Macaca mulatta: one gene and its partners. The protein of the gene in region 3 purifies or fractionates together with the protein of the main gene of each other region. This does not show direct contact. Links are inferred from orthologs where the notes say so. Each region holds a gene or a part of one and is shown on either strand. Other genes may lie near its edges. The genes, in order: NTMT1, LRRC41, DRG1 and LARP7.

Region 1 (8,089 bases), on a different chromosome or scaffold from region 3:
AGCTACTCGGGAGGCTGAGGCAGGAGAATGGCCTGAACACAGGAGGTGGAGCTTGCCATGAGCCAAGATCGCGCCACTGCATTCCAGCCTGGGCGACAGAGCAAGACTCCGTATCCAAAAAAAAAAAAAAAAAAAGACGACTTCTAACGGATGCAATTCTCCTTCTGTAACTGGTCAGCCTTTTCCGGAGACCCAGCCAGCCAGTGGGGGCAACAGGGAAAGGCCTGTTGTGGCTGCTGAGAACAGAGGGGACGGGGTCCCTCCTCTCCAACACCGTGCCTGACTCCTTCAGCAGATTTGAGCTTTCTTCACTGACAAAGTCACACGCCAGCTTTCTGAGGGTCCAGAGAGAGCTGACAAGACCCATGTGCTCTACCGGGGCCCGGTTCTTCTTAGATCCGTGATTGGGTCTTTTCACCCTCAGCAGAACCCTTTGGCTGTGCCTAGAGAAGTCTACTTAAACCTCTCTTCAGATTCTTGTTTTTTTGAGATGGGGTCTTGCTATGTGGCCCAGGCTGGCCTCAAACTCCCGGGCTCAGGCCATCCTCCCTATTCAGCCTCCCAAGTAGCTGAGATTACAGGCGTATGACACTGGGCCTGGCTTCCCTCTTCAGATTCTTGAATCCACTCGCAGACTGACCCCTCACTTTACCGTTCACACACAGGGTTTGGGCCACAATGAAGAAAGGCAGCCATCACTGCACCAATCAGGGAGCCCTTTGGGGTAACAGGCTGGGGAGGACCTTAGTTCTACTTATTGCACATAACACCTTCCCCGCAAGCTGACCACAGAGCTCCCACACTGGTCTCCCAGCACTGGGAACAACACTGCTGGAAGGAGAAAGCAGCCTATGGCTCAGAAACCCGTCTCTATCAAAAACACACACATTCTAGTACCTCCCAGCTACTAGGGAGGCTGAGGTGGGAGGATCACTTGAGCCTGGGAGGTCAAGGCTGCAGTGAGCCATGATCCTGCCTCTGCATTCCAGTCTGGGCAACAGAGTGAGACAGTGTGTCAAAAAAAGAAGAATTAATTCTTGTTCCCACCAGACCTGCCAATCCTCAAGACTGCTAGATCTGCCATGGTGGCTGACGGGGAAAAGGGCCACCAACCTGAATGTCACCATGTAGCCGGGTTTGGTGGCTGCTATGGTCTGACGGGGTAAGGACCAGGTCAGGTGGGCTGCCTGCCCCTCTGCCAGCAGGCACCAGAGCAACCATGTCACAGCCCTCCATCAGTCACTCAGAGAGGATGGCATTCAAAACTACAGCTGGGTGCAGTGGCTCATGCCTATAATCTGAGCACTTTGGGAGGCTGAGGTGGGAAGACTGCTTGAGCACAGGAGTTTGAGTCCAGCCTAGACAAGAGCGAGACCCTGTCTCAAAAAATAAAAAACACTTGGTGGCTGGGAAAATTAAAGACAAAGGTTAAAAAACGAAATACTACTCTTCCACACCATGCTAGCACAACTCCCATTCAGACTGGAGCACGGCGAGAGCAAGCCCGTCTCCCTCTCACCACCCACCAGTCTTGGTAAACTGAAGGTTTTGTATCCAGTTCTATCTCTCGCCTGGCCTGGGAGCTCCTAGAGAGCAATGGCAACATTTGAGATTTATCACTATGCTTCTCTTGCATCCCACGAAACACAGATATTCAACAGAAAGTTAATCTCTGATCAAATGAACAGAATAAATCTGAGGGCAAACGCGTATCGATTAGACCAGTGCCTGACACCAGGTGGGCACTGACTAATTGGTTGCCAAATAATACAATGGGCTTTGTGCAGCTATAGCCATTTTCCACTTCTAAGAAAATCCTACAGACAAAAGTCCAACCATTCAAAACTGGTAATACTGAAGGCTGTTACCGACAACATAATTTTGTGCTTTACCAAAAGCCTTGTAACATGATTCCTTTAAATGTCAGGGTCCCCCAAATAATCTAATTTACAAGAATTCCACCTACACGCAAATTCTAGGAAAAAGCCAGGGGAGGCACATATTGGCAGGGAAATAGCGAGCCTGACTTTGACATTTGTCCTAACAGCTGATTCATTAATAAATGGGATTCCTAGGGTCCTGGCTACATTCTGTCCAGATTGCAGTGGGGCAGGAGGAGGTCCCTAAGAGTCCGAGGGAACAGCAAGGTCGGTCGGCCAACAGCAGGAGGTCCTGCTACACTCTGCTCCAGAGGACAGATGCCATGTGGCTGCAGGGCCTGGGAGGAGGCCAGGAGCACCCTGGCTTTGTGTGAACTCTAGGCTAGCTCAGAGAGGAAGAGAAACCCCTCACGCCTGGTAAATGCCTGCTCAGCCAGTAAATGTGATCCTACATCCTTCACGGTCACCTAGCTGCTGCCTCCTCCTCCCCGCCAAGGTGTTCAGACCCACGCAGCTGCCCCAGTTACTGCGTCTCTTCTCCCACGACCCATGGAAGAAAACGGTGCTGAAACTGTCACCGGCAGACTTTTGCAGTCATCTCATCCTACTCATGTTAAGTCTCTACGGAAAAGCCTGCCTAAAAGTGACCTCCACCCTCTAGCAGCCTACAGGACAGAACCCATCCTCCCTGGATCTTTGTGGACAGCAGCAGGCCACATGCAAATGGCAGAGTGCTCTAAGAAAAGGAAAGAAGGGAAAAAGGGAGGGAAGAAGACAAAACAGGGGATACATTTAAAAACTAACAAAGACTCTGATGGAGTCGGATGAACCAGATCTGAATCTTGGCTCTGCTCACCAGCTGTGTTAAGCTCAGATAAGACATCAAACCTCACCATTCCTCAGTTCATCTATAAAATGGAGCAGTAATACCGACTTTACAGAAAGCCTGTGATTAAAAGTGCACACGAAAAGCTTAAAGTGCTTTGCACAGTGCCAGGCACATATTCTCTCTTGAGCTTAGAAATTCTCCGTCAAACGAGATTCTTGTCAACTCTGCGCACTATGAGGATCAAATGGGAAAAGTGCCTTAGAATGCCATAGAAGCTGTACTGTTGGACACACCTAGGGGACTGTTACTGGTATGCTGGGCGGCCAATCCAGCAGACTCAAACAGCTCTGCAAATCAGCCAGAGTGAGGAGTGAGCTTCCTCTGTCTGTAAGCACAGAACCCCCACCGAGATTTTTTAGATGCTATCTTTGTGATCCCAGGGCTTCCGGCCTCCACCAAAACACTCCATGCGTTACTTCCAACCCCCACGCAGTCCTCAGTTTACAGAGAGAAAAACCAGCACACTAAAGGAAACGATGTGTCTTTAAACATACGAACAGGAAGCCGAGAACAGAATTAAGGAGGGATTCCAGGCTCCTTATCCCAGCCCTGGTTCCTCCCAGAGGCTCATCCCATCTCACTGGGCAATCATTCTACACACCACAACCACCGGTTACACTGTCCCTCCCCGCTGTCAGGGCCTCTGACACCAGCTGTGGCAATCACTTAACAATAGAGAGGAGAAACCGAAGTCCAGAGAGAGAGATCACACAGTTGGTGGGCAGCAAAGCCTGGGCTTTTCGATATGGCAGCCTCCCTGCAGACAGGCTGACCTTGGCCGCAAGGGTTCTGGGGGTGTCTTTTTTGAGCTGCACCTGTGTCGGGCTGGCGCTGGGGCGGGACCCAAGGTTAAATACGACGGCAACTTCTGTGCAACGGGCACTTCACTGTGCCAGGCTCTGAACTGGGCATTTTACCGATTCCTCCCATCCATCCTCCGAGTGGGCGCTCTCCATATCCCTGTTTCTCGGAGGGGAAACAGGCTCAGAGAAAGGGATTTGCTGCGGTCTGGGGACCCGGGTGGGGGAGTGCCCTGCCTGGGCTTTGAGTGCCTTGACTTTCCTCCTGTACCCCAACCCATGGACTGACTGCTCCGTAGTCCCTGCCCAGGTCCGGCCCGTGGACCGCTTGGGAACGCGCACGTGGGGCCCGTGCCGGCCCTCGCGCACGCGCCGGGTCACGTGACGAGCCGGGGCCCACAGGGCGCCGAAGCAGTTAGGGGTCGCGGCCTCCCCTCTCCCGGCGGCTGCCTACCCTTCGCACCGCCTCGCGCTACTCACTCCGCGCGGGGGCTCCCGGGACCGAGAGAAGAAGATGGGGAAGAGGAAGGGAGGGCGGCAGCGGCGGAGACCCCACAAGGTAACCGCAGCTCCGCCACACCACGACCAGACGCGACAGCTCGCGGCGCGCGCTGCCTTTGTCCGCTAACGTCACTTCCGGGCGTTTAGGGGCGGGGCCACGGCTGGCCCCACCTCCTCGTTCAGCTCGCCCCCCTCCCGCGGGCTCCGGATTTAGCCTGACTTCTTTTGAAAAATAATTTAACTTAATTTTTTTTTTTTTTTAAATTGAGACAGAATCTTGCTCTGTCAACCAGGCTGGAGTGCAGTGGCGCGATCTTGGCTCACTGCAACCTCCGCCTCCCAGGTTCCAGCGATTCTCCTGCCTCTGCCTCCAGAGTAGCTGGGACTACAGGTGTGAGCTACCACACCCAGCTAATTTTTGTATTTTTAGTAGAGACGGGTTTTCACCATGTTGGCCAGGCTGGTTGCGAACTCCTGACTTCAAGTCATCCTCCCGCCTCTGCCTTCCGAAGTATTGGGATTATAGGCGTAAGCCACTGCGCCCAGCCTAATTTGACTGACTGCCTTCCTTCCTTCCTTCTTTCCTCCCTTCCTCCCTCCCTCCCTCCCTCCTTTCCTTCCTTCCTTTCCTTCCTTCCCTTCCCTTCCTTCCTTCCTTCCCTCCCTCCCTCCCTCCTTCCTTCCTTCCCTCCCTCCCTCCTTCCTTCCTTCCTTCCTTCCCTCCCTCCCTCCCTCCTTCCTTCCTTCCTTCCTTCCTTCCTTCCGAGACGGAGGCTCGCTCTGTTGCCCAGGCTGGAGTGCAGTGGCCTATCTCAGCTCACTGCAAGCTCAGTCTCCCGGGTTCCCACCATTCTCCTCCCTCAGCCTCCCAAGTAGCTGGGACTACAGGCGCCCGCCACCACGCCCAGCTAATTTTTTTTGTATTTTTAAAGTAGAGATGGGGTTTCACCGTGTTAGTCAGGATGGTCTCGATCTTCTGACCTCGTCATCCGCCCGCCCCGGCCTCCCAGAATGCTAGGATTACAGGCGTGAGCCACCGCGCCCGGCCTAATTTGACTTCTTTAAAAAAAAAATTAGAGACGGGGTCTCACCCTGTTGCCCAGGCTGATCTTGAATCCTGGCCTCAAGCAAGGCTTCCACTTTGGCCTCCCAGACTGCTGGGATTACAAGCGTGAGCCACCGCGCCCAACACAGGTTACAGCTCAAAACTTGACTAAATTGACTTTTGGGAATCTGGAAGGACCTCCCGAACTGAAAAGAGCCGCGGCGTTGCCCTCTCTTCATCCCCATCACGAACAACAGTTCGTTTGGAGGCTGCAGGCTGGGCTTTGAGTAAGAAGGGGAAAAAAGCCATTGGTCCTCAAATCCACCCATCTCCATTAGCATCTTAAAATAATACCGACCCCCCAAAAATAAATAAAATAAAAAATACTCTTGGCAGTGCCATGGGATTCCCACCCAAATAAGCAGAACAAGCCCATGAAATTTCCATTCCAAAAGCATGGCCCTTCCCTCGGCTCCTCCCATGCAAAGAAATTCTGGAGCTATCTCCGAGGCAGCAGTGATGGAAACACGAGCTTGCAGGTGGGTAGAGCCTGTTAACATCTCCGAGCTTCAGTCTCCTGCCAGAAGAAGTGGAGCAATGTAATCATTACTCAACTTCTGATGCTCTGAGAGGATTAAACTTGTGGGACACTGCACACCAGACCTTCAGCTCAGCACCTGCAGTGGGTTCTCAGGAAATGGAAGCTATTATAATGACAATATTCACCCTAAGGTCATTTTTCCTAAACTATTAATAACATCCTGGTTTTGGCAGGGTGCAGTGGTGCACAACTGTAACCCCAGCATTCTGGGATGCCAAGGCGGGCAGATCACCTGAGGTCAGGAGTTTGAAACCAGCCTGGCCAACATGGCAAAACCCCGTCTCTACTAAAAATACAAAATTAGCCAGACGTGGTGGTGCATGCCTGCAGTCCCAGCTACTCGGGAGGCTGAAGCAGGAGAATCGCCTGAACCTGGGAGGTGGAGGTTGCAATGAGCCTAGATCACACCATTGCTTTCCAGCCTGGGTGACAAGAGCAAAACTCCATCTCAAAAATAAATAAAATAATAATATTCTGGTGTTAGGTTTCCAATGCCTTCCTCTGAGCAGTGCACACAGAAGGTGCTTAAAGTGTGTTTGCTCTAAATGTACTGAAAGCTACGGGAGAAAGGGGATGCCAAAAAGCCACATCTGCATTGAGTCCGCAGAACGTGTGTATGTGCATATTATTTGGCATCCCTTCTAGACTATTCTAGGTCCTAACTGCTACCCCTGGTCTGAGCAAGCTTCATTTTCTGTGTCTCTACGCAAAGGAATTGATCCTGGGCAATTTCAATTGCTGGGGGTGTCTGGAATCCTCCACCAGGGGGCAGCTCTGGTCCAAACTCTGCATGCCTAAAAATCCAGCCCTATCTTATTTCCTGTCAACAGAAGAGCAAGCCCCTTCCCCACACCCAGACTCCAAGGCCTTCCCAGGGCTGGCCAGCTCCCTGACCTCAAAGCCTCTGGCATCTCTGAATTCCCAAGCCTAGCACATAGTAGTTGCTTGATAAATGATTGCAGAGTGCAAGGTCTGGAGGGCTCTTTAGAAACATCTAGTTAGGCCGGGTGTGGTGGCTCATGCCTGTAATCCCAGCACTTTGGGAGACCGAGGCGGGTGGATCACGAGGTCAGGAGATTGAGACAGGAGATTGAGACCATCCTGACTAACACGGTGAAACCCCATCTCTACTAAAAATACAAAAAAATTAGCTGGGTGTGGTGGCGGGCACCTGTAATCCCAGCTACTCGGGAGGCTGAGGCAGGAGAATGGCGTGAACCTGGGAGGCAGAGCTTGCAGTGAGCCAAGATCACGCCACTGCACTCCAGCCTGGCTGACGGAGCGAGACTCCGTCTCAAAAAAAAACAAAAACAAAAAACCATCTAGTTAATCTGGTGTTTCTCAGCCATTAAAAAAAGTCACATACCCTTTAAATAAATACAAAAATATCTCCCTCCCCCACTCAATATTGTAGCTCTCCAAGAAAGTATGTCCCTCCATCCCTGGTGAGAAGCATTGACAGAAAATAGAATACATCTTTGGCGATGTGTCCTCTAGTGAGTCACTCTGTTATTTGAATTACAAAGTCGTTTCTTCATTTTCAAATTATGAAACTATGCCATGCCAGTGAAATACTCATGTAAATGACCTTTGTCTCCCACCCCAGCTTCACAATACTCTATGAGCTTCCTCTCGGCCCTCTCCCAGCCAAGACTCAGAGATAAGGCCCAGGGAGTCCTGAGAAAAAAGACACTTCTCCAGTATCACACAGCAAAACAGCAGACCATGGACTTGAAAGTGGGTATGTTAATTTCTTTCTTCTCTTCTCTTCTCTTCTCTTCTCTTCTCTTCTCTTCTCTTCTCTTTTCCTTTCTGGAGATGGAGTCTCACTCTGTAGGCTGGAGTGCAGTGGCGCGATCTCAGCTCACTGCAACCTCTGCCTCCCGGGTTCAAGCAATTCTCCTGCCTCAGCCCCCCAAGTAGCTGGGACTACAGGCACACGCTGCCACACCTGGCTAATTTTTTTGTATTTTAGTAGAGACGGGGTTTCACCATGTGGCCCAGGCTGGTTACGAACTCCCAAGCTCAGGCAATCCGCCTGCCTTGGCCTCCCAAAGTGCTAGGATTACAGGCATTAGCCAGTGCAACCTGGCCTCTTTTTTTTTTTTTTTTTTTTTTGAGACAGAGTCTCAAATGATCCGTGTAATGGATTAGAGTTGGAGATGTCAGCATGAGCTCATGTTTAGCTTAATATAAGTACAGATGGTTACCTATAGAAATATTTATAGATCTGTGTGTGTAATAGTAAACACGCACATTTCTTTGTCTGCCAGCTGAGACTGCCTGAAACAAATGACATCTCAATAGCAAGAAGCACACCTAGCACCCAGGCCTTGAATCATTATTATTATTACTGTTTTTGAGATGGAGTCT
Region 2 (7,371 bases), on a different chromosome or scaffold from region 3:
GGAGGCCAAGGCGAGCAGATCACCTGAGGTCAGGAGTTCGAGATCAGCTGACCAACATGGAAAAACCCTGTCTCTATTAAAAATACAAAAAAATTAGCTGGGTGTGGTGGCACATGCCTGTAATCCCAGCTACTCGAGAGGCTAAGCCAGGAGAATTGCTTGAACCCGGGAGGCAGAGGTTGCATTGAGCCATTGCACTCCAGCCCGGGCGACAAGAGTGAAACTCTGTCTCAAACAAAACAAAACAACTGGTAGGTCTTTAAGATTAGAGGCGGCCGGGCGCGGTGGCTCAAGCCTGTAATCCCAGCACTTTGGGAGGCCGAGATGGGCGGATCACGAGGTCAGGAGATCAAGACCATCCTGGCTAACACGGTGAAACCCCGTCTCTACTAAAAAATACAAAAAACTAGCCGGGCGAGGTGGCAGGCGCCTGTAGTGCCAGCTACTCGGGAGGCTGAGGCAGGAGAATGGCGTAAACCTGGGAGGCGGAGCTTGCAGTGAGCTGAGATCCGGCCACTGCACTCCAGCTTGGGCGACAGAGCGAGACTCCGTCTCAAAAAAAAAAAAAAAAAAAAAAAAGATTAGAGGCTGCATCTATTCTTCCAAGATCTGGTACCTGGTTAAGTTTCAGTAAATGTTTATTGAATTAAATCTACCCCGTCACCTAGTTATGGGGGAGTAAAAGAAGCTCTGCTTAAATGAGAGCTCCAGTGATTTATATCTGTATCAGTGAATAATAGAATCCCAGGGCTAAAAGGAGCCCTAAAAGTCATCTTGTGCAACCCCTTTTACAATGCTGAATCCCCTGCAGAACACCTATGTGTCAAGGAGTTATCCAGACTCCATTTGAACTTAGTGATGGGAAGTTTATTACCTCTAGAATTAGCTTGTTTCATAAGCTCAGGGTTTAAGCTTTACATAAACTTCAGGTTAGCAAAAATGTATTTTCCATTAGCTTCCATCCAGAACAAGTCTATTAATCCCTCCTTCATGTGACAGCCATTCATATATTTCAAGATGGGTCATGTTTCCCAAGTCTTCTCTTTTTCAGGAAAAACATCTCCAGTCTTCCCAATCTGACTCACATAATGTGGCTTTGACTTCTTTCTCCATACTCCATGGGTAGCCTGACCATTGCAGAGCTAGGCAGGACTGTTGACTGTTGTCCACCTTGTCCTTCAGCCTATACTATATTTACACTAGTTCACACAGCTCAAGGTATAGTCATTATGAGTGGCTTCAACATATTGTTGACTAAACTCCCTTAATCTTTTTTATACAAGCTGTTACTAAGCAGACTACTTTATCCCACATCCTGAGGCCATGCAATTGGAACTTTTAAAACTCATTGAAGTATTGGTGTATTCTATTAAATTTCATTTTGTTAGATTTGACCACTGCATCAAGAACTCTAGGAATCCTGGCTCTGCCATCCATTGTGATCACTAACTTTCCCTGTTTTGTGTCCCCTGCAAATATGGTGAGCAAGCAATTCAGTGACAAATGCCAAATGGACCAAAACCTTGTGACAAGCCATCAGAGCCCTCCTCCCACATCCATTCCATCACTGCCTCTGCACTTTACCAGTACCCAGCTTGTGTTTGTGTGCTATTCCTGCTTTTACCATGCAAAATCAGGCTAGTGTTCTACCTGATAACTTACTTCCAAACTGGAAGGCCGTGTCTTCATCAGTTCATCCCAGAGTCGGCGCCAGATGGCCTGAGTGGAGAGGCCTGTAAGGAGAAATATCACACTTGGCTGCTTGCTGGCCACCATAAGTACATCAACCTTTAATGTTGTCCTCCGGGTTCACAGGAGCAATATGGCAGAGTGATTAAGAACATTGGCTCTAAAGACAGATTGCCTGGGTGTGAATATCAGCAAACTACACTCCAGCTATGTGACTTTGGGCAAGTTACTTAATTTCTCTGTGGTTCAGTTTCCTCATCTGTAAAATGTTAATAACAGCTATTTCATAGGGTTGTTGAAAGGATTAGAGTAAATGAGTTTTTCTAGGTAAAGTGCCTAGGACAGTGCTTGACACATTAGGGTTCAATGTTAGCTGTTAACAGATGTGTCTAATGAGCGGAGGAAGCTTGGTAAAATAGAGAAACTAAGATTCGGAAGATCTGGGTTGTTCTGGCTTTGCTATTAATTGTGGTGTGCCTGTGTCTCACTTTTATCAGTATAATAAAGATCATATACTTGGCTTTGTGTTTCACAGGACACTGAGGAATGAGGAAGAAAAATAGGTGTGAAGGTACTTTTTGAAAAGCATGAAGTTCTAAGGCCAGGTGCGGTGGCTCAAGCCTGTAATCCCAACACTTTGGGAGGCCAAGGAAGGTGGATCACGAGGTCAGGAGATTGAGACTGTCCTGGCTAACACGTTGAAACTCCGTCCCTACTAAAAATACAAAAAAAATTAGCCGGGCGTGGTGGTAGGCGCCTGTAGTCCCAGCTACTACTACTGAGGCAGGAGAATGGTGTGAACCCGGGAGGCGGAGCTTGCCATGAGCCAAGATTGCACCACTGCACTCCACCCTGGGCAACAAAGCAAGACTCCGTATAAAAAAAAAAAAAAAAAGCATGAAGTTCTAGCAGGTATCAGGTGTAATATTTACCTGAAGAACATTATGGTGCCTTGCTCATAATCATTGACTGAGAAAGAGACAGAAAGATACTCACCTTTCTTGAGGGCAGTTTCCTCAATCCTCTCCAAGTAATATATATTGAGCAGAGGTAGGATGCTTTGAAGTATTGGGCCTGGGAGGGCTACAAAAATCAAAACAAAAGTTTACTTTTCCTCCCCTCCCCCTCCCCCTCAAGAGGGTTCCAAGCATTATTTATTCTACTGGAAAGGAAAATGGAAGGGTAGACTTCTCACTTGACAAATGGAGCCTCTAGAAGCTAATCTAGATCTGTTCCAAACTCTAGTCCACTTATCTTCAGCCACTCAGTTGGAAGCTGGAATTTCAGGGGCCAGGGTGAGATCATCCCACAAAACAAGCTGACATGCTAAATGAGCTTGACATGCTTTTTAGGAGCTGGTCAGTTCACTTTGCCCAAGCAAAATGAACCATTTTGCATTGAAAAGCACCTACTGAATATGTGTGATAAAAGGTCTTTCATAATCTGCCCTGCTAGTATCAGCTCCCTGCTTTGCCTCCTACATTTCAGCCACACTTAACTACTTTTTCATTTACCTAACATGCTGCTTTCTGCCCCTGTACCTTTGTCATGCTGTTCTTTCCAACAGGAATGTCCTTTGTCATGCTGTTCTAATAGGAATGTCATTGCCACTTTCACTATATCAACTACTCATCTTTCAAGTATCACATGCCCTTTATTAAGTCTTTCCTGAATTCCCTTCCCATTCTTCCAGATTAACCACTACCATCCTTTGGGCTACTGCTATATCCTGAATTAGTACTTTCCTATGAAGAAGAGAAACAATTCATGTCTCTAAAGTCAATATACCTTTTTTTTTTTTTTTTTGAGATGGAGTGTCGCTTTGTCGCCCAGGCTGCAGTGGCGCGATCTCGGCTCACTGCAAGCTCCGCCTCCCGGGTTCATGCTATTCTCCCGCCTCAGCCTCCTGGGTAGCTGGGACTACAGGAGCGCACCACCACGCCCGGCTGATTTTTTGTATTTTTAGTAGAGACGGGGTTTCACTGTGTTAGCCAGGATGGTCTCGATCTCCTGACCTCGTGACCCGCCTGCCTCAGCCTCCCAAAGTGCTGGGATTACAGGCGTGAGCCACTGCACCCAGCCAAAAGTCAATATATCTTAAAAACAACCTGCTCTTGCCAACTTCTCTAGTTCTAAGAGCTGTTATAGTATAGTGTCTAAAGGGTTTGGCCTCTAGAGTAGGAAAAATCTGGGTGAAATTCTAACTATTTAGTTAAATGTGAATCCTTGGACAAATTATTTAAGCCTCTTTAAGCCTTTGTTTCTTCAACTGGAAAAAAATGGAGGCCACGCACAGTGGCTCACACCTGTAATCCCAGCACTTTGGGAGTCTAAGACAAGAGGATCGCTTAAGCTCGGGAGTTCGAGGCTACAGTGAGCTATGCTTACACCACTGTACTTGAGCCCAAGTGATAGAGTGAGAACCCATCTCAAAACAAAACAAAAATTAGCAGAGTGTGATGGTGTGCACCTGTGGTCACAGCTACTTGGGAAGCTAAGGTGGGAGGATGGCTGGAGCCCAGGAGGTTGAGGCTGCAGCGAGCTGTGCTTAGACCACTGCACTCCAGCCTGGGTGACAGAGCAAGACCCTGCCTCAAAAAATAAAAAATAGGTGGGATGCAATGGTTCACACCTGTAATCCCAGCACTTTGGGAGGCCAAGGCAGGCAGATCACTTGAGGTCAGGAGTTTGATACCAGCCTGACCAACATGGTGAAACCCCGTCTCTACTGAAAATACAAAAATTAGCCAGGTGTAATGATGCATGCCTGTAATCCCAGCTACGTGGGAGGCTGAGGCACAAGAATCGCTTGAACTCAGGAGGTAGAGATTGCAGTGAGCTGAGATGGCGCCATTGCACTCCAGCCTGGGCGACAGAGCAAGACTCTGTCTCAAAAATAAAATAAAATGGAGATAACAGTAATTAACTCATGATATTGTTGGGAAGATCATGCTTATAATCTGTTTAAAATAATGCCCAGCCATAATAAGCTCACTAAATGTTGGTTGTTATTTTTATCCTGTCAGTGGCATCTCTGTCCAATCAAGAACAAGTCAAACTCACACTTGTAATCCCTGTAATCTTTGGAGGTCGAGGTGGGGGACATTGCTTAAGCCCAGGAGTTTGAGACCAGCCTGGGCAACATGGGAAACTCCCGTCTCTACCAAAAATACAGAGAAAATTAGCCGGGTGTTGTGGGGCACACCTGTGGTCCCAGCTTCTTGGGAGGCTGAGGTGGGAGAATTGCTTGAGCCCAGAAGATAGAGGTGGCAGTGAGCTGGTATCATGCCACTGCACTCCAGCCTGGGTGACAGAGTGAGACCCCATCTCAAAGAAAAAGAACAAGTCTAAGATCTTGGAGTATACCAAAACTTCCGCCCCAGGGTCTCTTTTTATTTTTATTTACAGAATAACTGAATCTTGACATCAAGAATCTAGTATAATTCTTTGTACATTGTATGTCCTCAATGTACCTGCTGAATGAAAGTGTTAATTCCCTATGCTTTTACACACGAATGTAGTCCACATCACCTTTCATCTGGTCTATTACAACAGCTTAACTGCTCTCCTTCACTTCAGTCTCTATCCAGTCCCTCTTCATCCTGCTCTTGGTGATGACATTACCCTCTTCGAAACCCTTGGAGGTCTCTCTGCTGCATTCATGATAAAGTCCAAACTCCACATCCTGGTATTCAAGGTATAGTATACCTTATTCTACTTAAGTTTCCTCATTGTACCCTTTCCTGCTGCCTCTATACCTCTGCTGCCCCAACTCCTTACACAAAGCGATGCTAGTTCACTACCTCCAGGAAGACTTTCCTGGCTGTTAGCCCACACTGAGACTTTCCTCCAAAATAGTAATGCTTAGCAGGCCTCTTCCTTGGCTATTCTCCTAAAAGGCCTCACTTGATTCAGCTTTTTCTGGTCTAGGCCCACAGGAGCTCTTCCTCCCCTGTCTCCTCTCAACCTCGCTGGGGGCTCAGCCAGTAATGGGATGGTGGTATATACAGCAGTGATGGGGGAGGGAGAAGGGGAAATGGAGATTCAGTAAACTGTCAATTGTTTTGGGGGGAAGAAGCAACAGGGGAAGAAGTTCCTCAGAGCCCCTCCAACCTGCTCTCCTCTAGTTAGCCATCCCTTCTCACAGCCACAGGAATTCTCATCCCCTCCTTTCTCCATTCTTCTTAAGCCGGGATTTTCCTGGCTTCTTTCTAGCCTGCACCTTTAATGCTGCTGCTTCCCAACCTGGGCCTCCACACCCAGTCATCTTCCTTTTTAGCCAGTCTTAGCATCCCAGAAGCTCCAGGCAGACAAGCCAGACCCCGTCTGCCTTCTTCCCCATGCCCTAGGACTTTTCTGAGCTCCCTGCTCAGCTCAGAACGGAGACTTTCCTCATGTTCGCCATGGGTGGGCCTGCCCCTTGTCTTCTCAGCCTCTGGCTGGCCTGGAGCCTCCAGTGTCCCCTCCGCACACAGGCCCAACTTCTAACAGCCTCTTCCACTACCACTATGCAGGACACTCCGGCCTCACCGTACTGGGCTCCACTCCCACAGCCAAGGCCCTCCCCGACCACCCTCCAGCTTATCCCGGAGCTGCAGCGCCCCCAAACTCCAGGGCCTTTTCCCCACACCCCCTCCTCATGGCATAACTCAAACCCCCCGCCCTGCAACCTCGAGTCCTCAAAGTCCTCACTCCTGTCCTGACCAGGGCCTTCCTCCTGCAAAGACGCCACGGCCACCCGCAAGGCCTCCTGGTGGAACCTCCCCCGCGCCGCCTCCAGGCCCGGGGCCTGTTCTCCTGCCACCCTCCCCGGCAGGCCTTGGCCGGGCCTGCCACCTCCTCGCCCAACTCCAGCCCCGGCCTCCGGACCCCACCCTCAACACCAGCAGCCTCGCAGGCCCGAGGCCTCCCCTATCCCCAGCGCGGCCAGGCCTGCTTGGCAGAGCCTCGCTTTCCCTCTTTCACTAGCCCCACGTCGCGGACTCGTTTCCTTCGTCAGTGGCCAGGCCGTGGCCGGCGGTCCCCAACCCACAGCCCCGCCTCCCAGCCCAACTGGCCGGTTCGCCCTCCCCGGCCGTTCATCCCGGCGCCCCAGGCCGCCCTCCACCCAGGCCCGGCCCTTTGGTCCCGGCCGCTCTCAGGCCTGAGGCCCCCGTTCACTTCCATTCAGCCCAAGGCCTCTTGGCGGCGCCGCGCCCCCTGCCACGGCAGCCCGGCAGTCCGGGATCCCCGGGCCGTCGCCCCGCTTGGGGCCTCCTTGGCCCTTCCCGCCTGTCCATCATTCGAGCCTCCCTCGCTTGTTTAAGCCGCTCTGGGCCCCCTCCACTCGCTCTCCGGCCCCTCCTCGCCGCTCGAGCCGATCCGAGTGGCCTCCGGCGCTCCCTGTCCTGCGGGTCGCTCGGTCGCTCAGTCAGTTTGGCACCCGAGACCCCGGTTGTCGGTTCGCTCCCGTCAGCCCTGGGCCGTCAGACAGGCCGCGGCGCCCCGAGCCTTTCGGCCTCTCCCCCTGCCCCATTCCCTCGCTCTCAAATCCGCTGTCCTCCCCTCCGCCCATCGGCTTGGCCTCCGGAGTCTCGACCCCTGTGGCGTGTCAGGCAGATACTGGGGGTCCCGTTCCATCAGTCAGGTTCGGTGGCCCCGGGCCTGGCCTCCTGGCCTTAGGCCGGGCCTCCTAACCTCGGC
Region 3 (7,371 bases):
GTCAGGAGATCGAGACCATCCTGGCTAACACGGCGAAACCCCGTCTCTACTAAAAAAAAAAAACACAAAAAATTAGCCGGGCGAGGTGGCGGCGCCTGTGGTCCCAGCTACTCAGGAGGCTGAGGCAGGAGAATCGCTTGAACCCGGGAGGCGGAGCTTGCAGTGAGCTGAGATCTGGCCACTGCACTCCAGCCTGGGCGACAGAGCGAGACTCCGTCTCAAAAAAAAAAAAAAAAAAAAAAAAAAAAAAAAAGACAGGATAATGGGAAAGATGTTTTGGGCAAGACAGCTTAAACCTATGCCAGTCAAATCATCTGGAGTGTTAAATTTAGTAGGAAAGTCTCAGTCCTCAATTCTGACAGAGAAGCAGCATTTGACAGAACTGGTCACTCTTATCTGAAACACTTTACTTGGCTTCCAGCATTTCAAACTCTTTCAGTTCTCCTTCTCTCTCTTTGTCTAAGAAGTCTTATCTCTTTGAGTCTCTTTTCTTTTTTTCTTTTTTTTTTTTGAGACGGAGTTTCTCTCTTGGTGCCCAGGCTGGAGTGCAATGGCGCAATCTCAGCTCACTGCAACCTCCACCTCCTGGGTTCAAGCGATTCTCCTGCCTCAGTCTCCCAAGTAGCTAGGATTACAGGCGCGTGCCACCATGCCTGACTAATTTTTGTATTTTTAGTAGAGACAGGGTTTTGCCATGTTGGCCAGGCTGGTCTCCAACTCCTGACCTCAGGTAATCTGCCCACTTCAGCCTCAGCATCAGCCACTGTGTCTGGCCGATTCTCTTTTCTTTTTTCTTTTCTTTTTTTTTTTTTTTTGAGATGGAGTCCCACTCTGTTGCCAGGCTGGAGTGCAGTGGTGTGATCTCGGCTCACTGCAACCTCCTCCTCCCAGGTTCAAGCGATTCTCCTGCCTCAACCTCCTGAGCAGCTGAGATTACAGGCGTGTGCCACCATGCTCAGCTAATTTTTGTGTTTTTAATAGAGACAGGGTTTCACCATGTTGGCCAGGATGGTCTCGATTTTTTTTTTTTTTTTTTTTTTTTTGAGACAGAGTCTGGCTCTGTCACCCAGGCTGGAGTGCAGTGGCGCGATCTCGGCTCACTGCAAGCTCCGCCTCCCGGGTTTACGCCATTCTCCGGCCTCAGCCTCCCGAGTAGCTGGGACTACAGGCGCCCGCCACCTCGCCCGGCTAGTTTTTTGTATTTTTTAGTAGAGACGGGGTTTCACCGTGTTAGCCAGGATGGTCTCGATCTCCTGACCTCCTGATCCGCCCGTCTCAGCCTCCCAAAGTGCTGGGATTACAGGCTTGAGCCACCGCGCCCGGCCTCGATCTCTTGACCTTGTGATCTGCCCGCCTTGGCCTCCCAAAGTGCTGGGATTACAGGCATGAGCCACCACGCCTGACTCTCTTTTCTTTTCTATCTATACTCACATCCTTGGTGATCTCAGTTAGGTCCATGACATTAAAGTTGATAATCACCAAATTTATATATCCAGTCTAGGTAATTCCTCATGCAGCCTAAATAATTCCTCATGCCTTTTTTTTTTTTTTTTAGTAGAGATGGGGTCTCGCTTTGTTGTCCAAGCTGGTTTTGAACTCCTGGGCTCAAGTGATCCTCCTGCCTCAACCTCCCAAAGTGCTGGGATTATAGATGTACAGTCATGAGCCACTGTGCCCAACCTACCCCACATGCCTTCTTGACAGAAACACCTAGATGTCTAACTGGCATCTAAAACTTAACATCCTGATCTTCTCCTTCCCTCCAAACCTACTCTACCAAAAGTCCTACCATTTTAGTAAAAAGAGTTCATTTTTTTTTTTTAGCTCAGTACAAAAAAAAAAAAAAAAAAAAGTGGCTGGGTATGGTGGCTCACACCTGTAATCCCAACACTTTGGGAGACCAAAGCAGGAGGATAGTTTGAGGCCAAAAGTTCAAGATCAACCTGGGCAACATGGCAAATCTCCGTTTCTACCAAAAAAAAAAAAAAAAAAAAGCCAAGCCTGGAGGCATGTGACTATAGCCCTAGCTACTTAGAAGGCTGAGGCAGGAGGGTCACTTGAGCCCAGGAGTTTGAGCTAACAGTGATTGTACCACTGTACTCCAGCCTAAGCGACAGAATGAGATCAACCAGGCTGGCCGACATGGTAAAACCCCGTCTCTACTAAAAATACAAGAATTAGCCGGGCACAATGGCAGGCACCTGTAATCCCAGCTACTCAGGAGGCTGAGGCAGAAGAATCTCTTGAACTTGGTCGGCAGAGGTCGCAGTGCGCCAGGATCGCGCCACTGCACTCCAGCCTGGGTGACAGAGCAAGACAGAGTGAGACTCCATCTCTAAATAAGTAAACAAACAAACAAACAAAAAACAAAACAGGCATCTCTGACTCTTTCTTTCACAATGCATACCCAATCCAGATGTAATTACTATCAGCTATTTCAAAATCTTTCCACAACCAACCACTTTTCAACTCCTTCACTGTCACAACCCTGGTCCAGGAAGCTATCACTTCTTGGTTATTGCAATAACCTCTTAAATTATTTCTGTTTCTGCTCTTAACCTACTGCAATCTATTCTCAACATAAGAGTCAGAATTATTCCACTAAAACCTAAGTCAAATCATGTTTGTGGGTCAGAACTCAACCAAGTTACCCATCTCCTGTAAAGTAAAAGCACATATGTCCCTATGTTATGACTTCATCTCTTACTACTCTCTTACTTGCTCATTCTGCTGTTCCTCAAACATGGGAAGACATGCCCTGCCTCAGTACCTTTCCACTTGGACGTTTCCTCTGCATGAAGCAAATGCTCTTCTTCAAGATATCCACTTGGTTCACACCTTCATGTTACCTCAGTGAAGACTTCCCTGACCAACGTTCTTAAAACCGCAACCCTCACACCAACACTCTATCTCCTTTCCCTACTTTGTGTTCTCACATTTATCATTGACTAATACATTATATTTTACTCATTAATATTTGCTATTCTATCCAACTAGAAAATAAAAGCAGGGGGTTTCACTATTCCCTCTTCCATTCCTGCTCAGAGCCTAAAATAATGCTTGGCCCATGGTAGGCACTCTATAAATTTGTGTTAAATGAATGAAAACAGAAGACATTGGCGGCCATGTACTTTATGCAAGCATAATATTGGTTCACACTCCCATATCATCCCTAATAGATAATCCAAAAGAGGAAATAAGCAGCAAAGGTAAGTCTGAGACTGGCTCCTACCCTAATCTTGAAGTCTTTCTTGTCAGTCATTATGAAGTCACTGTGCTATCTCAATTAGTGCAGGGAAAAGCCAAGAAATTTTCCAATGTCAATGTCCATGCACCCTAATCCACTCCCCACTCCTATTCCTGCAGCAGCCTGCCCCATGTCGTCTTCCCCACTTACAGTGGCTGTGAGATTAATGCCTCCCTTGTCTTTCTTCTTAAAGCCAATGTTGGGGGGTTTGCTGTTCAAGCGAATGCCAAAGCCTTCCAGCTCATTTTCAATTATCTTCTTATGTCCCAAAGGTTTCAGGACATCCAGAACAATCAAGATCAAGTTACAGGTTCGGGCCACTGAAGAGTAAGAAAAAAACATACCCAAGAAAGTTCAATAAAGCCTTAACTAACCCAAATACTCAAGTAGAGGTGTTTTTCCCCCTACATTTAAGTGTCAAAGGATTTTTTTGTAATACATACATACATACATACACGAAGTTCTTATAGCTACAAAAGAGTTATACCAGAAGTCAATTTGCCTTGTATGCCATGAAATCAGCACATATTTGCCCAAGAGTTGATACATTTTCTGTCGCCCAGGCTGGAGTGCAGTGGCACAATCTTGGCTTACTGCAACCTCTTCCTCTCGGGTTCAAGCGATTCTCCTGCCTCAGCCACCCGAGTAGCTGGGACTACAGGCACGTGCCACCATGCCCAGCTAATTGTATTTTAGTAGACATGGGATTTCCTCACCATGTTGCCTGGGCTGGTCTTGAACTCCTGAGCTCAGGCAATCCACCCACCTCAGCCTCCCAAAGGGCTAGGATTACAGGCGTGAGCCACTGCGCCCACCCTTGGTTAGCATATTTTAAACCAAATTTAATGAGGTACAACTTTTTTTTAATTATATCCATGTTAAAGCACACAGTTCGATGGCAAATGTATATACCTGTGTAACCACCTAAGCAATCAAGACACGGAATATTTCCATCACCTACAGCATTCCTTTGTAACTAACTCCTTTCAATCTTCCCCACTATTCCCAGCCAACCACTGATCTGCTTTCTGCCACCATAGTTTGCACTTTTTAGAATTTCATATAAATGAAATCATATAAAATATATTATTTTGGCACAGCACAGTGGCTCCTGCCTATAATCCTAGCACTTTGGGAGGTTGCAGCAGAAGGACTGATTGGAGCCAGGAGTTTGAGACCAGCCTGCGCAACAAAGTAAGATTCAATCTGTACAAAAAAAAAAAAAATGTAGTATTTTGTGCCTGAATATCTTATTTTTATTAATACATACTTATATTTATATTGACTGAGACAGAGTATCACTCTATTGCCTAGGCTGCAGTGCAGTGGCATGATCATAGCTCACTGTAGCCTTTAACTCCTGACCTCAAGCAATCCTCCTGCCTTGGTCTCCCAAAGTGCCAAGATTACAGGCATGAGCCACAGTATCTGGCCTATTTCTATATTAAAATTCATTTGTCAAAAATTCTGCTTCCAGGCCGGGCGCGGTGGCTCAAGCCTGTAATCCCAGCACTTTGGGAGGCCGAGACGGGCGGATCACTAGGTCAGGAGATCGAGACCATCCTGGCTAACACGGTGAAACCCCGTCTCTACTAAAAAATACAAAAAACTAGCCGGGCGAGGTGGCGGGCGCCTGTAGTCCCAGCTACTCAGGAGGCTGAGACAGCAGAATGGCCCGAACCCGGGAGGCGGAGCTTGCAGTGAGCTGAGATCCGGCCACTGCACTCCAGCCTGGACGACAGAGCGAGACTCCGTCTCAAAAAAAAAAAAAAAAATTCTGCTTCCAGCTGGGAATGGGAGCTCACGCCTATAATCCCAGCACTTCGGGAGGCTGAAGCGAGAAGATCACCTGACGCCAGGCATTCAAGACCAGCCTGGTCAACATGGTGAAACCGACTCTACTAAAAATACAAAAACTGGCCAGGCACAGTGGCTTACATCTGTAATCCCAGCACTTTGGGAGGCTGAGGCAGGAGAATCGCTTAAACCCGGGAGACAGAGGTTGCAGTGAGCTGAGATTGCGCCACTGCACTCCAGCCTGGACAACAGAGCAAGAATCCATCTCCAAAAATAAGTAAATAAATAAAACATTAGCTGGCCGTGGTAGTGGACACCTGTAATACCAGCTACTCACGAGGCTGAGGCACAACAATCGCTTGAACCGGGGAGGCAGAGGTTGCAGTGAGCCGAGATCATGCCACTGCACTCCAGCCAGCCTGGGTAACAGCTCCATCTCAGGAAAAAAAAAAAAAATTCTGCTTCCATCAACTTTCTAGTTCCTCATTTTTTTAAATTCTCTTTTTTGAAGAGAAAGGCTTTTGCTTTGTCACTCAGGCTGGAGTGCAGTCGCATGATCATAGCTCATTATAACCTCTACCTCCTGGGCTCAACTGATCCTCCTGCCTCAGCCTCTTTGAATATCTTGGACTACACATGTGTGCCATGTCACATGACTATTTTTTCTTTTTTAATTTTTGTAGAGGCAGGGTCTTGCAATGTTGCCCAGGTTGGTCTTGAACTCCTGGCCTCAAACAATCCTCCTGCCTCACTCTCCCAAACTGCCGGGATTACAGATATAAGCCATTGCACCTGACCCTCATTCTTTTTTTTTTTTTTTTTCCTTTGGAGATGGAGTAGAGATGGCGTTTTACCACGTTGTTCAGGCTGGTCTTGAACTCCTGACCTCACGATCTGCCCACCTCGGCCTCCCAAAGTGCTGGGATTACAGGCGTGAGCCACCATGCCCAGCCTCAGTGGTAAGACTTTTTTTTTTTTTTTTTTTGAGACAGAGTTTCACTCTTGTTGCCCAGTCTGGAGTGCAATGGTGAGACCTCGGCTCACTACAACGTCCGCCTCCTGGGTTCAAGCAATTCTCCTGACCCAGCCTCCTAAGTAGCTGGGATTATAGGCATGGGCCACCACTCCCAGCTAATTTTGTATTTTTAGTAGAGACAGGGTTTCTCCAGGTTGGTCAGGCTAGTCTCAAACTTTCAACCTCAGGTGATCTGCCCGCCTCAGCCTCCCAAAGTGCTGGGACTACACGCATGTGCCACCATGTCCAGCCTGATTTTATTTATTATTTTTTAGATGGAGTCTCACTCTGTCATGCAGGCTGGAATGCAATGGCATGATCTCAGCTCACTGCAACCTCCACCTCCCCGGTTCAGGCTATTTTCCTGCCTCAGCCTCCCAAGTAGCTGGGACTACAGGCATGCATCACTATGCCTGGCTACATTTTGTATTTTTAGTACAGACAGGGTTTCACCATGTTGGCCAGGCTGGTCTCAAACTCCTGACCTCAAGTGATCCACCCGCCTCAGCCTCCCAGAGTGCTGCAATTATAGACGTGAGCCACCATGCCTGGCCATGATTTTATTTTTATTATTATTTTTTGACACGGAGCCTTGCTCTGTTGCCAGGCTGGAGTGCAGTGGTGCGATCTCTCGGCTCACTGCAACCTCCGCCTCCCAGGTTTAAGCGATTCTCCTGCCTCAGCCTCCTGAGTAGCTGGGACTACAGGCGTACACCACCACACCCAGCTAATTTTTGTATTTTTAGTAGAGAGACGGGGTTTCATCATGTTGGCCAGGATGGTCTCGATCTCCTGACCTGGTGATCCACCCGCCTCAGCCTCCCGAAGTGCTGGGATTACAGGTGTTTGAGTCACCACGCCTGACCTTATTATTACTATTATTATTTGAGACAGGGTCTCTGTTTGTTGCCCAGGCTGCAGTGCAGTGCCATGATCACGGCTCACTGCAGCTTGACCTCCTGGGCTCAAGAGAGCCTCCCACCTCAGCCTCCCAAACACCTGGGACTACAGGAACACACCACCACATCCAGCTATTTTTTTTTTTTTTTTGAGACAGAGTCTTGCTGTCACCAGGCTGGAGTGCAATGGTGCGATCTCGGCTCACTGCAACCTCTGCCGTCCAGAGTCAAGCAATTCTCCTGCCTCAGCCTCCCAAGTAGCTGGGACTACAGGCACGCGCTACCATGCCCAGCTAATTTTTATATTTTTAATAAAAATGGTGGGGTTTCACCATGTTGGCCAGGATGGTCTCGATCTCTTCACCTCGTGATCCGCCTGCCTCGGCCTCCCAAAGTGCTAGAATTACAGACTG
Region 4 (7,371 bases), on a different chromosome or scaffold from region 3:
ATTATAGTTTTATTAATGTAATAATACTCTTTTAAAGCTTGATTTGGAAGGCACCAGAATCAGGAGGAAAAAACCTCTGGGGGAAAGACCAAAAGATGAGGATGAGCGCACTGTGTATGTGGTAAGCTTAAGAGCCCGGGTCCCCAGTCAGAAACTGGCACAGAAACAATGTAATTAAGTTAAAAACTTATTGACATTCTGAAAATATAAGCATTGCAAAAAACTATTTAATATTGCTTTTAATTTATCACAGGAGTTACTTCCCAAAAATGTTAATCACAGCTGGATTGAAAGAGTCTTTGGGAAATGTGGCAATGTTGTTTATATCAGTATACCACATTATAAGTCTACTGGAGATCCAAAGGGATTTGCGTTTGTGGAATTTGAAACAAAAGAACAAGCAGCAAAGGCAATTGAGGTAGGTCCAGATCCTAGAAAAAAAAAATGTATAGATATAACAAGTATTAAAATAGTAAAACTTTTTTTCAATCATTTCAGTTTCTTAACAACCCACCAGAAGAAGCACCAAGAAAACCTGGCATATTTCCTAAAACAGTGAAAAATAAGCCCATTCCAGCCTTAAGAGTTGTGGGTGAGTATTTTTCAATATTTAAGTAGATGTAATTGAAGTAAGATGAACTAATGATGGCACTTTTACAGAAGAGAAGAAAAAGAAAAAGAAGAAGAAGGGCCGAATGAAAAAGGAAGACAATGTCCAAGCCAAAGAGGAAAATATGGACACAACCAACACCAGCATCAGTAAAATGAAAAGATCCAGGCCCACATCTGAGGGCTCTGACATTGAGTCTACTGAACCCCAAAAGCAATCCTCAAAGAAAAAGAAAAAGCGGGACAGAGTTGAAGCATCGAGCTTACCTGAAGTCAGAACAGGCAAGAGGAAGAGAAGCAGCTCTGAAGATGCAGAGTCCCTGGGTCCGCGATCAAAAGTAAAGAAAATTATTCAGAAAGACATCATTAAGGAACCTTCAGAAGCTTCCAAGGAAAATAGAGGTAAACTGCAAGGTTTTATTTATATAAATTAAGCTTCTGTTTCACCCATTTCACAGCCGCAAGTCTTAACTGGCTTTTTTATTTATTTCAAGATATAGAAATCTCTACTGAAGAGGAGAAGGATACTGGAGATCTAAAAGACAGCTCTCTCTTAAAAACAAAAAGGAAACACAAGAAAAAACATAAAGAGAGACATAAAATGGGAGAAGAAGTTATACCATTAAGAGTACTATCAAAGTAAGTCTGTGGTTTAAATCCTGTCATTAGCTTAACAATCCATCACCATTGCTAAAGTGCAATTCCAATTTGTGTTCAACAGAGTTGCATATTAGCAACAGTAGTGGCCTGTAGCAAAGAACTGCACACAATGTGGGCGTTAACGCAATCGATGATTAAGTAGGAACCACCACACTCAAACATGGAAGCACTTATTTTTGTCTTACCACAGCAAGTGCCTCCATGTTAAAGTAGAGGGGGCACCTTAACAGACTTAAAAATACAAAATAAAGCTTAAATAAACGAGAATAAAATCCTTTTCTAAAAACCTTATAAAAATGTAAAAGGAAGACTTACCATCACCAAAACATGGAAGCACTTACTTCTTTAGTTTCAAAGCAAGTACATCCACGTTTAAGTGGTGGGAAGCCCAGTCTTGGACAAACTTAGAATCCTTTAACCTGTAACAAGCTTAGTAAGCTTGAAACACAGTAACAAAAAAAATTAACAAAAGGTGTGCTGACTTGGAGACACCTCCACTGAAACATGGAAGCACTTACTTTTGTTTCACACAGCAGGTACCCCCATGTTAAAGCAAAGGGGATCCCTTCAACCTCTTAAGGAGAGTGAAGTTAGCATGTTCTATTTTGGAGAAGTAAGTTGGATTCACTCCTACTAAAACATGGAAGCACTTACTTATTTTAAAGTCACAGAAAGCACTTCCATGTTAAAGTTGAAGGGAGCCCACCCACATACAACTTCTTTGGGACTTGAGAGTAGTTAAAGCTGAGGAGAAAGAAAACAAAATGGCATACCTTTTGAAGAAAAATATTTCCTTACCTTCCTGAATTAGTTCCCAAAGATTCCTGTCCTCCTCCAGAAGGGTAAAAGGCAGGGACTTCAGCCACTTCTATTTATACTATTCTTAACTCCTGAATTCCTTTTGCCTTTTTATCTCAGAGAATCATTACAAGGGCCTTTTGTTATTTTAATGTATCAGCTCTTGGGGAATGTATGATCCTGGGTGGGTCTGGATCCTTTTTTTTTTTTTTTTTTTTTTTTGGAAGTATACAGATGTCAATGTTAACAGCTAAAACCATTACCACAAGATATCTTCCTCTTTAAAAAAAAAAAAGGAAAATCTATCTGCTTGTTTGATGGCATAGATTAGGGTAACAATGAGTGCTCCCACTAAGCCAAGAGAGGCATTGTGTTTCTATCTGGAGGAACTCTAGCTGTTTGAAGAAACATCTACATGTTAAATATATGTAAATAAATAGAATGCTTCCATGGGGTGTTTTGTTCTACTTAGAAATTCTTTTTGATTCAAGTAAATACTAAGGAATGTTATCTCTCAAATTGGAAGCAGTTTAACAAATCTTTAATCTCGGGCTTTTCCCACAGAGATGACTGATTTAGTAAATGTTACTAGTTAAGGAATCAATGCTAAAATGTTACTTTTATAAATTAAAATACTTCAGACACACTCAAAAATGTAATTGGCAATCTTAAAACGTTTAATCTGAATATTGGGGGAAGAGGAACTCCCTTAGCTTATTTGCTAAATGTCTTTAGAACCCAGGAAATATTTTGAATATGTGTTTAAAGAAACAAGAAAGTTGGGTGGAGGAGTTACTCCAAGTCATTGTGAATGTATATATTTAGATATTCCCATATTTACTTTTTATATTTTAATATTTTTTTTTATATTTAGTCGTCTATAATCACTATTTCATTTCTTTCCTTGCAGGAGCGAATGGATGGATTTGAAAAAAGAGTATTTAGCGCTACAAAAAGCTAGCATGGCTTCTTTAAAAAAAACAATATCCCAAATAAAATCAGAGTCAGAAATGGAAACAGACGGTGGAGTACCTCAAAAGACTGGAATGAAAAATGAAAAAAGTAAAGATCACTGATAGTTTTGACTTATAATGTACAGTTTTGACTTATAATGTACTTATGTATGAAAATGCTATCTCTGAGTTGTTACAAGATAAACTTTAATTTTAAAAAACTTGATTATTCTGTGTCATTATTAGAACAATTCTTGATTTGTTAAGTTATCCAGATATGTTATTTACTCTTGATATAAGAACATTTAAAAGGCTCATTTAAAACAATTTTTTAAATAACCTGAGTTTTCTCTACAGTTTTCATTTAAGCACATGAGTGCAGTTTGTAGACTGAACAAGTTTGTAGGAATGAAGATTGTAGTTCTCACCTGTAATTTCATTCTGTAGTATGAACCACAAGCAGGAATAAGTTAAAGCAAAATTCTTACGAATTCAAAATTAGGATACATCTTAAATTATCATTTCTTGTAAAAATAAATGATGCTCACGTTGGAATAATTATTTAAAACAGTATCCTATAATTTTTTTTTAACTTTATTGAGTTAAAATTTGCTGTTCCTTTGTGCAGGGAGAAGGGGCAAACTTAAAGACTACCAGTGCTCTTCTAGCAGTAACAGTTTGCATGTAGAATAATAAACCTTTCTGGATTTTATTTCATGGTATTTTGAAATAAGCAGTATGACATATAAAATAAACTTTATTTTAAAATTAAATACGTTTTAAATTATTTAAATCTGCCTCAGGAATTATTCTAAGATAGTCCTCCCAAGTATTAAATTGTTAAGTGTAAGAGATTTAGTGCTGGTCTTTTTCCTCTTCTAATCAACAGCCAACAGTGAAGAGTGTCCCACCCAGGAGAAAGTTAATGCAACAGGACCACAGTTCGTGAGTGGAGTGATTGTGAAGATCATTAGCACAGAGCCTCTACCTGGCAGGAAACAAGTCCGGGTAATGATTTTGAGCCCGTAGGGTATTTGTTCCTTTCTTGTCTTAACTTCCCTGTGTGATAATGTTTTGAATATGGAAGATAAATCAAATTAGAATTTGTATCTCTATGGTAAACTACCTGTACAGTTTTAATTCCATGGTAACTCTTAGGTTTAATTTTGAAGCAAAAACTAGAGACTGAAATTCTTCACTGAGTCCATTTTATAGTAAGCACAGTTTAAACATCCTTCTTTATAGGAAAATTGTAACTTTTGCTTATTTTTATTGGCACGGATTTATTTTTTTGTATTACCTATGTGCTGATTATCTTTAAAATTGTAATTATAGAAAAGTGTAAAATATTTTTGAAGACCTATAGAAATCTTTCACACATGTGCCAAAAAACCCATAGTTCTATATAATTTACGCTACAAATTGCTGTACACACAGGTTTATAATCTTTTTTTCGTTTTGTACAGTCTATCTTCTATAGCCTTTTATACCACACTGGTAGCAATACTTCTTTCTATTAGGGAAAAGTAAGTATATACTTTTATGTGAGAGTACCGTATCTTATTTACCCTTACCCTGCCTGTGACCCATTTAAGTCAATCCTTTTCTTTTTAAAAAGTGTGAAATGCTCTGTAACATACCACATATTTTAAGTATTTTCTTATACTGACATTCATCATCACTTAGTATATTGTTTTGGTTTCACATAGACTCATCAGTCACAGGTTTTAACTTGAATATCATTGAGGTGGTTGTTTATCTGTAAGCACTCCTTATCTGAAATGCTGTCCTACAATCCTATAGCTGTCACTAAGAAACAAATTTTGATTCTCTTTCCAATATTGGTGAAGGATTTGGCCAAATCCAAATTGCTATTACCAACTTGCATTTCAGGAGACAGCTGAAAATTGAGGGATGTAAATACCGCTCTGGTTAATCAGATTGCAAAACATTTAATAAAAAAAATTACTCAGTTATTTGTAATCACTCATTAAATAACTTTTATTATTTAAATGGTAACTATATCAATTACAAATTCATCATTTATGATCATCAAAATCATAAAATCAATCCCTGCATTAATCCAGTTAGTAGTTACTTACATTTTGCTGAAACAAAAACTGAGCTGTGATGGTGGTTACAGCTGTCTGTGACTTGCCCATGTGATTACTAGGCTAATTTGTCCTTCTATGGGTTTTAAATTCTGAGGGTTTTAAATCAAGAGATTAGCCTGACATTATAATGGATATTTAGTAAATATCTTTTGAGTTGTAGTAATTGAATATGCTCAGAAGTCAGTTATAAAACTCATTACTAGTACTGAATGCATTCAAATTTCAACAATACTGAATTTTTTACTTGCTTTATATCTAAATTTGGTACTAATTAATTAGATAAAGAAGTGGGAAGGACTAGCAAGTATATGTCTCTGCAGTTCTTTTTTTTTTTTTTAATTTGGCAAACAGTTACCAAATGCCTGTTTTGTGCTAGTTTGCTGAGTGTTGGGATGAGTTAAGATCTGGTCCCTGGCTTCTAGAAATTCATAGATTTTATTATATATTTTTTATTGTTAACTGATAAACTTGTCTTATTCTATGATGAAATAATACTCCCAGGTATTGCTCAATTCTTTCCATAAATCAAACATCTAAAAATTCAACATTTGAACATAATCTAAATTAGTTGTGTCCTGAAAATGTAGGTTAAAACTAAAGTGAGGCAAGATAAGAAAGATTTTTTTCCCCCATTTAGGAATCTGCAGTTATTTCTTTAGCTTTGTGAATGGAAGTTGATGAATTAGGAATTAGTGTAACATTCCTGCATAAATGCATTGTATACTCTGTAAAACCTGCTGTGAGGGAAAAAAAAAAAGTTGATTAAGAATGCAGGAATCTGGTTAATTTGCCCTCACAGCAGGCAGTGTAGGTAAAACTTTTCCTTGCTGGGTGACCACAACTTGTTTAGAAGAGGTTGCTTAGGTATTTTTTTCAGAAAGTAAGAGCTCTTGAACAATTTGGAAACCTAGTATCTTAGGTTCAGTAAAACTGTTTTTCATGAGTTGTTATTAAAAGTTGAGTGATTTGTACACATATTTTAAAGTCATAGTGATTTTCTGCAGGTGAGTAAAAACAAACCTCCCTTAATCCTTTTTTTTTTTTTTTAAATTTTATTCCTTATACTAACTACTCCCAGATGTGAACCCTTCCTGATTTGGGGATTGGGGGACACTATTTCTGCTTTCTGCTCTACAAATCTGTTGTCCTTATAGAATATTCCCATTCTAGTTCAGATTTTACGGATGTGATTTCAAGAAAATAAAGGAAAATAAATTGTTAGAGTTGATATTATTCAAATCTATTTTTAAGAACATGCTTTACAAGAAATGTTTGATATAGGATATTTGCTCCTCATTAGTCTGCAAAATGCTTTATTTACATAATATATTCTGGCATAACCATTGGAATAGTTTTAGAATTATTGTGAAACATTTTAAATTTTATTTGTCTTTCTACTTAATTCTAATGCAGGATACTTTGGCAGCAATCTCAGAAGTTCTTTATGTTGATTTGCTTGAAGGGGATACAGAATGCCATGCTAGATTTAAAACTCCTGAGGATGCTCAAGCAGTAATAAATGCATATACAGAAATTAGCAAGAAACACTGCTGGAAACTCGAGATCCTTTCTGGTAAAACTTCATAGAAGTGTTTTTTTTTTTTGTAACCATCCTTATTGTGGGTAACATTTTCTGAGTTTGGCTAATGAAACTAGTTTTGTTTTTTGTTTGTTTGTTTTTTGTTGTTGTTTTTTTTTTTTTTGGTCTCACTCTGTCGCTCAGGCTGGAGTGCAGTGGTGTGATCTCAACTCAACGCAACCTCCACCTCCCAGGTTCAAGTGATTCTCCTGCCTCAGCCTCCTGAGTACTTGGGATTACAGGCGTGTGTTACCACGCCTGGCTAATTTTTATATTTTTATTTTATTTTTTGAGACAGAGTTTCGCTCTTGTTGCCCAGGCTGGAGTGCAATGGTATAATCTCAGCTCAGTGCAACCTCTGCCTCCTGGCTTCAAGTGATTCTCCTGCCTCAGCCTCCCAGGTTAGCTGGGATTACAGGCATGTGCCACCTTGCCCAGCTAATTTTATGTTTTTGGTAGAGACGGGGTTTCTCCATGTTGGTCAGCCTGGTCTTGTCTTGAACTCCCGACCTCAGGTGGTCTGCTTGCCTTGGCCCCCTGAAGTGCTGGGATTACAGGCATGAGCCACTGCACCAGGCAATTTTTAGTAGAGATGGGGTTTTGCTATGTTGGCCAGGCTGTTGTCGAACTCCTGACCTCTGGTGATCCTGCCTCCTTG

Evidence for each region.
Region 1: the proteins of DRG1 (region 3) and NTMT1 purify together in Homo sapiens (affinity purification with mass spectrometry; 3 studies listed by BioGRID and IntAct, counting the BioPlex papers as one, with this or other methods). This does not show direct contact. The link is inferred for Macaca mulatta from reciprocal best matches to the Homo sapiens genes DRG1 and NTMT1.
Region 2: the proteins of DRG1 (region 3) and LRRC41 purify together in Homo sapiens (affinity purification with mass spectrometry; 3 studies listed by BioGRID and IntAct, counting the BioPlex papers as one, with this or other methods). This does not show direct contact. The link is inferred for Macaca mulatta from reciprocal best matches to the Homo sapiens genes DRG1 and LRRC41.
Region 4: the proteins of DRG1 (region 3) and LARP7 purify together in Homo sapiens (affinity purification with mass spectrometry; 3 studies listed by BioGRID and IntAct, with this or other methods). This does not show direct contact. The link is inferred for Macaca mulatta from reciprocal best matches to the Homo sapiens genes DRG1 and LARP7.

Annotation. Positions count from the first base shown.
Region 1 is NC_133420.1:17,993,989-18,002,077, forward strand, and holds the start of NTMT1 (N-terminal Xaa-Pro-Lys N-methyltransferase 1), read right to left. Parts: upstream 4,190-8,089; 5' UTR 4,050-4,189; exon of another isoform or gene 3,940-4,049; intron 3,909-3,939; exon of another isoform or gene 3,807-3,908; intron 1,497-3,806; exon of another isoform or gene 7-1,496; intron 1-6. UniProt on the Homo sapiens protein: Distributive alpha-N-methyltransferase that methylates the N-terminus of target proteins containing the N-terminal motif [Ala/Gly/Pro/Ser]-Pro-Lys when the initiator Met is cleaved.
Region 2 is NC_133406.1:194,276,934-194,284,304, reverse strand, and holds part of LRRC41 (leucine-rich repeat-containing protein 41), read right to left. Parts: intron 2,965-7,371; exon of another isoform or gene 2,885-2,964; intron 2,773-2,884; coding exon 2,686-2,772; intron 1,734-2,685; coding exon 1,663-1,733; intron 1-1,662. UniProt on the Homo sapiens protein: Probable substrate recognition component of an ECS (Elongin BC-CUL2/5-SOCS-box protein) E3 ubiquitin ligase complex which mediates the ubiquitination and subsequent proteasomal degradation of target proteins.
Region 3 is NC_133415.1:20,088,153-20,095,523, forward strand, and holds part of DRG1 (developmentally-regulated GTP-binding protein 1), read right to left. Parts: intron 3,627-7,371; exon of another isoform or gene 3,568-3,626; coding exon 3,398-3,567; exon of another isoform or gene 2,311-3,397; intron 848-2,310; exon of another isoform or gene 781-847; intron 1-780. UniProt on the Homo sapiens protein: Catalyzes the conversion of GTP to GDP through hydrolysis of the gamma-phosphate bond in GTP. Appears to have an intrinsic GTPase activity that is stimulated by ZC3H15/DFRP1 binding likely by increasing the affinity for the potassium ions.
Region 4 is NC_133410.1:121,875,392-121,882,762, forward strand, and holds part of LARP7 (la-related protein 7), read left to right. Parts: intron 1-37; coding exon 38-121; intron 122-253; coding exon 254-418; intron 419-498; coding exon 499-592; intron 593-660; coding exon 661-1,011; intron 1,012-1,103; coding exon 1,104-1,248; intron 1,249-1,287; exon of another isoform or gene 1,288-1,355; intron 1,356-1,417; exon of another isoform or gene 1,418-1,485; intron 1,486-1,583; exon of another isoform or gene 1,584-1,652; intron 1,653-1,760; exon of another isoform or gene 1,761-1,828; intron 1,829-1,895; exon of another isoform or gene 1,896-1,971; intron 1,972-2,977; coding exon 2,978-3,129; intron 3,130-3,909; coding exon 3,910-4,028; intron 4,029-6,547; coding exon 6,548-6,707; intron 6,708-7,371. UniProt on the Homo sapiens protein: RNA-binding protein that specifically binds distinct small nuclear RNA (snRNAs) and regulates their processing and function.